Linked DNA regions of Coturnix japonica. The protein of the gene in region 2 purifies or fractionates together with the protein of the main gene of each other region. This does not show direct contact. Links are inferred from orthologs where the notes say so. Each region holds a gene or a part of one and is shown on either strand. Other genes may lie near its edges.

Region 1 (4,317 bases), on a different chromosome or scaffold from region 2:
ACTGCTCCAAGGCTGCAAAGGACCTAGAAAACAGAAGAGGAGCATTGTCTAGATGGGAACCGTACCCTAGTGCATTCCGTGCTCCAGACAACATGCACTACAAATCAGAGGCAGCAGCTTAAGTGGTGGAGCATAGGAAATTACAATGACAGGACACCCTCCAGCCTGCTAAGCACTGATTTAGGACAACAAGCTGACACCTACCACTCTTTCTCTGGCTTCTCAGGCTGTAGGGCACAGTCTGAATGGTAGAGATGGCTTCAATAGGACCACCATCACTGGGAACCATGAAAGTCGTCTTTGCCACTATGGATTCATTTCCCTGTAGCAAGAAGTGTGTTGTTGGTGACAGCAATGCTGACAGGACAAGGATTTAAGTCTGTTGGCCCTGGAAGCAGGTGTGCACTGTGGCCAACTGCTTTAAACACACACACAGCCAGCTGGGATCACTATACCTGGTCTGCTGTGGAGCCAATTGATCTGATTTTCTTCTCAGGAGCTGGTGGGCCTTCAGCATGCTGCCTGGAAGAGCGCTGAAAAGACACAGTATTTTAGTCTAAAAGGCAGGTAATACTATTAACTTAGTGATGTATTTTAACCACTCTCTTGCAGACTCAAGTTCATAACAAGATACCTGAAACTCCACTCATTATGCCCTGTGGAAAAACAGTATCAGAAATAACTTTCACACCAAATCTACACAGCAAGTCTGAATCACATCCATCAAGGTTTTGTGACTAGCACCTACCCATCACAGGTGACACCAGTTAATGCTAACAACAGTATCTATGTGAAGGGAAAGAATTGAACATACCCTCTTCTCTCTCCTCTTCAGTCTGACAGTTTTCACTGCAGAGGAATCCCAGTCCTGTGGAAAACATGCAGCACTGGTTAGCTCAGCGTAAACACCACACCACCTCTGGTCCACACCTCCATTACGTTTTACCCAATAGCACAGCAGAGATATGCAGATCAGCTCTACCAATTTAATACCACAGTAATCTAAACACAAGAGGTCTCTAGAGATTACCCCGCAGGTTTAAGATTTCATAGTTTAGAACTTGGAATTACATTACCAGTGAATCATCAGTCTTGTCAAAGCTGATGTCTGACAGAATTGAGCCAGATTCATCTATTGTAGACAGTCTAAAAACCAAGAATTAGAAGAAGCATGCATCAGTTTGGCTTTCAGGCAGCTGTGGTCCCAAAGCAACCTTAGGCAAAAGAGCTCTATTTCAAACTGGAATAAAAGTAAAACTGTTGATATGGATGCAACATGTATCTCAGACACACGCAGGCAGACCAGTAGCTGTCACTTATGCTGTTCAGACAAAACCATTCTGCCTACCTCTTGTTGCCTGAACCTCCTACAGAAACCTGTGGTTTGTTAAGGAAGGCAAGGGCAGACTTCTGTTCTTCACTTAGCTGAATGCTCCCAGATGCATCACACATGAGCAGCTCTCGAATCAGTTGTATTTGCCTCTCCTGAAAAGAAAGATAATATCAGAAGCCGTTTAATTACATGAACCAATCTCAGGTATTTGAGATACCACACAGATAGGCTCTCACAAATTGCTAAGAGCAAGTCCAGCACTCAAGCTGCTGATATCTGCAAAGCCCAGGCTCTGAAACAGCAGCCCTTCGCCTTCCAGACAAAAGCAGAAGGCCATTACAAGGAGCCAGATCAACCCATCACTGACTTGTTTTTATTCCCCCTATTGTTTCCACACCCCCCCCCCCCCGGTTAATTGCAGTTTAACCACCTTCTCTCCACATCAACTAGAGCTAACCAGTAATAAAAGAAACACTCACCAGCCTGTCACAGTCTGCTTCAGCTTTTTGCCTGCGTTTGATCTCTACATCCACTTGATTGCGCGCATGTTTCAGCTTCACGTCCAAAGCACTACGTTCAGCTTCACTTTTCATCAGCAGGTCTTTGTATCTTCCAAGCTCCTGCTCAGTTTTCTGCCACTTCCTTCGATAGTCTTCAAAGTTCTTCGCCAGCTGAATAAATTCTGGAGAAAAGATACATCACTCAGATTAAGAGAGGAGATGCAACAGCTCTCCTATAATTGAGGGCAGACTTCTAATAATTAATTAATTAAAATCTCTATTAATTGAAACATGGAGAAGCTGGCCTTGCAGCAAACCCCACTACACTCTGGATGTTCCCAAGATGTCACCACCTTTGCAGACCAAGTCTCAGCAGCAGCATCAAGCAGCAGATACCTCATGTGAGACCCTGACAAAGGCAACTTGCTTTCACCCTATGACTCCCTATTTCTCAACAACAGGAAAAAGAAACAACCTTCAAATCTGGCTGCCTGGAAGAGTGTTATTACTCAAGACCTCATCAACAGATCCTTCAATAACAGCTAGCAATGCTTGCTGCAAGAATATAAACACACAGATGCTGCTTGATGTCTCAAAACTTACGGCATTCATTCCCCTCGCTTAAAACTTCAGCCTGGCGTATGAGTTGGTCACACAAATTCCACAGGTTCCTCATTGTGGTATCCATCCTCCTGCCAAGAAAACAGAACTAAATCAACACCTCCAAATGAAAAATGCATTACCAGCCCCAAAAAAGAGAGAATTTGCTTCAGAATTCTCTTTTCTTTAGGCAAGATGTAGCAGCTGCACACACACAAAAAAAAGATGTTAGGCTTTATGAAGAGATGTGCATCTAAATTCTTAGGGGGCAAAGGCACTCAGCCCTCCAGAATTTAGTATTAGAGCAGCACAGCTTCCCAAACAGCCTCCAGTTTACTACAGAGGAGGGATCACAAACCATTTTCCTTCTGCCAGGCTGCAGGACGTGGCTCGGGCCCACTCCGGTGCTATATAGGCCACCAGAAATCTGTAAGCATTCAGAGCAACACGAGGTAAAAATAGAAGCAGCATTCAGGGGGAATTTCAATGCCGTTTTATATTTAGCTCCACTTTAAGTTACAGCTCCTGCTGCAAACGGCCTTGGAAATGCAGGCAGTCAGCACAAATCCCTCAAACAGCGAAAACAACGGCATAAACAGGAGCAGCCAAGAGGAAAGCCTCGAGCTCAGCAGCACAGAACGCAGTTCTTTAATACAGAAGGGGGCACTCAGGACAGGCTTGGTTAATGAATGAGCTCCAGGTGAAGGGGCGGCTGTGAAGGATGGCTGGGAGTGGCACCAGGAGGGGCACAACGCCCTGTTACAATGCTTGGTTATAACCCCACACACATTGGGGTTTTCTGCATGGAAAAGCAAAGCTCTGAGGACACTCCATAGCCCTGTGTCTCACTCCCCAGCACCTCAATACACCCACAGCTCCATATGGAGCCCTCACAGCCTCTTCATAGGGCACAACGGGTGGGACAGCCCTGAGGTAACAGGCCTCGGGCCTGCCCTGAGGTAACAGGCCTCGGGCCTGCCCTGAGGTAACAGGCCTCGGGCCTGCCCTGAGGTAACAGGCCTCGGGCCTACCCCGCGCCACACACACCGGGAGGCTGCCCGGCAATAGGGCCCCACCGAGCCTCCTCAGCTCAAGATCAGGGCCCTGCAGACCACCTCCCTCAGCCCAGGACCCTGCTGATGCCCCCCAATCCCATATCGAAGCCCCTTAGACCCCTCCCCAACCCGGCTTCCCCCCGCGCACTCACCCGCTCCGAGCTCCCACTCCAACAGCCGGCTTCAACTGCCCCGCGATTCGGTTTGAATCCCTGCCGCCGGCCAATCACAGGGCGCTCTCCACCCTTCTGGTTTCTGATTGGTTCTGCTCGCCGTGTGTCTGAAGCCAAATTGGCGCCATGTCTGCTAAGGGCAAAGCTTTTTCCCTTCCTCTGATTTCCGGGTTTGACAGATGGTGAAGTCGGCTAGGCGCCATGTTTACTATTGGCAGTTGCTTCCAGCCCTTGTTGCTTAGCAACAGAGCAGGCAGGGATGGCGGTGGGGCCTGGACCCCCAACCCAAGGGCTGCTCCTTCTGCATTAACCCTGAACGCAGCCATTGGCAGCACAGGGGTATTTTGGGGGAAGAAATGCTATTCTCAGGCCAAGCCCTGGCTGTAACTGTGCTAAACCAATGACACAAAGCATGGCAGGGTTCCGAGTCCCCTGTGCATTGGTGACATCAGGCATTCAATGTGCCCCAAAGCTATTTCAGATAACAAAAGCTTTCCAGAAGGCCTTTGGTTCAGTGTTGTCCCTTGAGAAGAATGATGCCGTGGCCTTTTGTCTTCTATTTGAGCCAACAGACCCACAAGCCAAAAGGCAAAGCCTCATTTCATTCCTCCTCCCATTTGCAAGCCTTTAATACAACTAAAAACACAAACCAAAAC
Region 2 (4,350 bases):
ACGCGGGGCTGCCACATGGCCACAAGAATTCAGGACAGCACACATTAGATACAACCAGAGTGCAATTGCTCAAGACAAGAATTAGCCCCAAAGCAGTTTCCTACCTGACATGCTCCACAGCTAGCGCCGTCTGATCAAACTCCCCCGACTCATCATACACAACCCACAGCTCCTGCAGTGATATCCGACGCTCCTTCAGCTCCAAGAGTTCCTGCATGCATTCCAGTGTAAAGGTGCTAACCTGTGACTCGAATAGGAAAGGCTCACAGAGCTGCACAACTGCCTTCAGAGCTGAGAACTCCACATCAACAACCTGTTAGAATGAACAGCCCTTAGAATTTCTGCACACAGAATCATAGATACAGCTGAGGAAGGCGAGCATGATGTGCACAACCCAGCAGACCTCGCTAAGTGCCAGCTGACACACGGTACATATTACAACAAAGGCAATCTGGTCAAAATGATCATCCTAGAAATAAACTCCTAAAAAAACAAAAATTTGGAGTCATCTCTTTGACATTCAAAACTAGGCTCAAATCCTCCAACAACAACAAGAGCTATAGTTACTATCAAAGTCAATTAGACAGAAAAATGTTAATGATAAGAAGAACTTAGAAGTGACCACAGCCTGGTATTTGTAAAGACTGTACCTCAGTAGCCAGCTCTGGACAATGCACTTATTCCTTCTGTGCCCACCAGGCTTAACCTCACAGCACACCCATGCTGACTTGGACTCCTCCTCCTCATTTCAAGGATCCCTGTGAGAATGTTGCTTCCTTTCAAGCACAGTTCTCCCAGGAAACATTCAGACACTTGAGAGGATCTCTGAAACTTGGGTGTGTTTTTGCTACAGTCTTCACACAGGGGCGTTACACAGGCTCTATATTGCCACTCTGGGGTTTAATATCATTTACCCAGCTCTTGAAAAGCTCAAGAAAAGGTAATTGATTATTCTCTGCTCTAGCACACAGATGACATAAATGCTGTACAAACATTTTGGTTTAGCACCAATAAACTTATCCTACAAATAGCAATCATGCTCTATATGCTCTGCTAAGAATTCAAAGTCCAGAAAACCTTTGTGGAACTAGGTGCAGCTTATTCTCAAGATACCAACACCAGTTTATTCACAATTGTATCTCAAAGAAAACGAAATTCAACTGTCCCACTGAAATGCTGTAGTTTAAAAGCAGAAGTAAACTTTAAGTAGTAGACAGCTAAATTCCAGGGTTAAATTATGTGATAAAGCAAAAAAATAGAAAGCCTACCTAGTGCTTAATTTATTGGAGTTGTGATGTGCTGTAGCCCTGAAGAGCTTATTCTGAGCAGCAGTGCCTCACTGCCATAACAGTCCCTCATGCAAATATCAGACCACAGGTTCCAACCTCATGCTTTTAGGCAAAAAAAGCACAACCAGTGTACAAAAATAGTGTTAAGTACTCTTTTGAAAGAAATTCCTATTGCTTTACTCCTCAATGGAAATTACATAGAAAAAACATATTAATTTCTAGCAGTTCATAAACCTCATAGATAAGTGATCTGCCCGTTATAGAGGCAAACAGTGTTGGTGGGAGGCAAATTGAGCCTGAACAACCACATCCCATTTACCTCAACGAGGACCTCAAACACGTCAGTGCGCCAAACAGCCTGCCATCCCGACCGCTCTAGGACCTTCTCCAGGTACTCAGCTGTGAATTCTTTCACCTCAGAAGCTTTGCAGTCAGCTAGAATAAAATGGAAGGCACTACATTTATGCAAGAAAGGAATGAGAAGCCATCAGCAGAAAATGAAAAGAATCAAAGGTTTCAGTGGCAGCGCTGCTGGGTCTGTGCCATATCTCAAGGAGTCTCATTACATACAGGAAGGTTCTAATAACACCAGGTAAAACCAAGCACAGAGCCCAGCATTAGCACTTCTTCCATTCAGATATTCACATCTTATTTACCCACGTTAAAGCTGTTACCTCCTGGGCCCATCAGCCTGATCAGATGAGGTGACAGCGTGACAGCCCAGCAGTGATGACTTACATACACCATGTACGTTCCAGTCCTTGCTATTAAGAGTGCTTCAGATGCAACCGACTCCACTTAGAGCAAAAGCCTTAAGAAACACAGCCACGTATTCTTTCCCTGCTAAAACCACTTACCCAAAATGTAATCCTGGTAAGCTTTAAATCGCTCATAAAACAAAAGATGATCGGTGCAAAAAGTATCAGGGAAAAGCACGTTCCCATCTGGTACCGCCCTGCTCAGGGCACTGCCCGGCTTGTCCCGGCTCCCATAATCGCTGCAGGTGTCCTCATCCTCCTGGGTGGGAGCTGTGGGAGGAGTGGGAACAAAGCACAGCCCACAGGTCGTCACATCCATACAATCACTGCTCTTCTATTCCCAAACAACTCCTGTCCGGCCCGAAATCCATCACACTCCTGCTTTCCATAACACATCTCACAGCGTGCCACAAAAACGCTGCAATTCATAAAGTCGTAATTATGAAGCGACTTTAACCATCGAATACTACTCGAGAAGCACAACCAGAGGTGCCCGGAATGCCGTGCCAGCGCCACACAGCACCTCAAATCCCAATTCCTTCCCGCACAGCCACGTTCTGTAGCTGCAGTAGCCGCAGCTCCGCGGTTCGCAGTGGGTGCGGGCCCTACCTGGCTTCGGCTCCTCGGCGCAATTCCGCGGCACAGCGGCGCTCCCGCACAGCAGCCCCCGCCCGGTCACACCGGCCATATCGCCCATATTGGCCATACTGCCCATATTGGCCATATCGCCCATACAGTCCATACCGGCCATACTCCTCTCTGCCTCCCGCACAAATTCAAACTGGCCGCGGTGCCGCCCCGCACGTCACGGGCATTGCCCGCCTCCATTGGCTGCCGGGCGGTCGGGCCGTTGCGCTGTGGGGCGGTCCCAGGTTCTGGGCCCATTGGGAGGAACCGGGGCTGAGGAACCGTAGCGCTTGGACACAGCACGAGGCGGATGGGTTGTTTTTTAAGCCACAATTGCTTTAAAACACGAACAACCACAAGAGGGCCGCCTTAGACCTCAAACATCATCGTTAACCTGCTCATCATTAACCAAATGTCAGCCTTCAAACTTAAAATACAAGAAGTATTGAGAGATCAAACTGTATTATTACATGAAATAGAAAACAAAAAGTGAGTTGCTATAAGGCCAGTCATTCTGAAAGTGTCTATCAGGGATGTGTGGAGTAAGTGGTTGAGACGAGCCAGCACATTCACACTGATAGGAAAGAAACAATAAAAAAGGCACAAAAGTGAAAAATATCTGCCTCAGGTACCATTCTTTGCAGTGAGAAGCCTGCATCCATCTCTGCTCTTGACACAAATTCCTTCTGTTACCATGGCAATAATTTAATCTCCTTAGGCTCCCATTTGTCCATCATAAAATGTAGACAGTATTTTTTTACTGCATGTGAATGATTAACTCATTTGTAAACCACTCTGATATCGTGCCGTGTAACTGCAGGCTGCTGTTAATTATTTGGGTTATTAGCAATAAAGTATGTTCTTTGACAGGTATTTCATCATTGCAAGCCTAAAGAAATCGAATCTAACCAGAAAAACAATTGAACTTGTGCAAACCTTTATAGCTTCATTGTTTCATCCCCACATCAAGTCAAATCCAATTGATGGGCTTTTTTAAAGAACTACTTTGGAGCTTCACATATGAGCTCTCTCTTCATCCAAATGTCTGTATCTATCAAAGATGGAGCCATATCACTGTAACCAACATACCTCTGAAAGTCAGAAAAATCAGATCTTGAAATCATTTGCTTCCATTACTGCTTGACTCCATTAGCAGAGGATGCTTTCTGAAGTGCTTTTTCTACTCTAATTTAAGCAGTTTTCAGGATACCCTCAACACTGGCTTCTTCAGAAATGTGCCTCGTGGACCTCAAATTGGTCCAACAAACACCTTATTTCTTATAACTACAATAACAGCATTACAGATACGGATTGTTGTGTTTATGGCACCTCTTCTCACAATCCACCTGAGGAGATTCAAGATTTATGCTGCATTGTCTGCTGCGTATTGACTTTCCCTTAACCACAAACATGCCTGACATTGCATCACAATTGCTGCAGATGCAGAACACAACAAATCATTGGGCACAATCATAGCGGGAAGAGGGCAGCTTGAAAAGAATGCAAATTGCTTGCAGCGTTTATTTTGTGCAATCATTGCACCTCCTCATTCACTGCAAACAAAGCAAAATAAAATGCAAAATGCAGATGCAAAGGAATGCAGCTGTTGGTGATGGGATATTATGTTGTTGTGATCAACTCTTCATTTCAGTTCAGACTTTGAACATGGCTGTTTA

Evidence for each region. The genes of interacting proteins can lie anywhere in the genome.
Region 1: the proteins of SHCBP1 (region 2) and RACGAP1 purify together in Homo sapiens (affinity purification with mass spectrometry; 8 studies listed by BioGRID and IntAct, counting the BioPlex papers as one, with this or other methods). This does not show direct contact. The link is inferred for Coturnix japonica from reciprocal best matches to the Homo sapiens genes SHCBP1 and RACGAP1.

What each region holds. Positions count from the first base shown.
Region 1 is NC_029544.1:383,569-387,885, reverse strand, and holds the start of RACGAP1 (rac GTPase-activating protein 1), read right to left. Parts: upstream 2,888-4,317; 5' UTR 2,792-2,887; intron 2,526-2,791; 5' UTR 2,522-2,525; coding exon 2,437-2,521; intron 2,016-2,436; coding exon 1,813-2,015; intron 1,486-1,812; coding exon 1,349-1,485; intron 1,147-1,348; coding exon 1,077-1,146; intron 869-1,076; coding exon 815-868; intron 534-814; coding exon 456-533; intron 323-455; coding exon 205-322; intron 24-204; coding exon 1-23.
Region 2 is NC_029526.1:6,660,431-6,664,780, reverse strand, and holds the start of SHCBP1 (SHC SH2 domain-binding protein 1), read right to left. Parts: upstream 2,864-4,350; 5' UTR 2,799-2,863; coding exon 2,657-2,798; intron 2,318-2,656; coding exon 2,147-2,317; intron 1,725-2,146; coding exon 1,609-1,724; intron 314-1,608; coding exon 105-313; intron 1-104. UniProt on the Homo sapiens protein: May play a role in signaling pathways governing cellular proliferation, cell growth and differentiation. May be a component of a novel signaling pathway downstream of Shc. Acts as a positive regulator of FGF signaling in neural progenitor cells.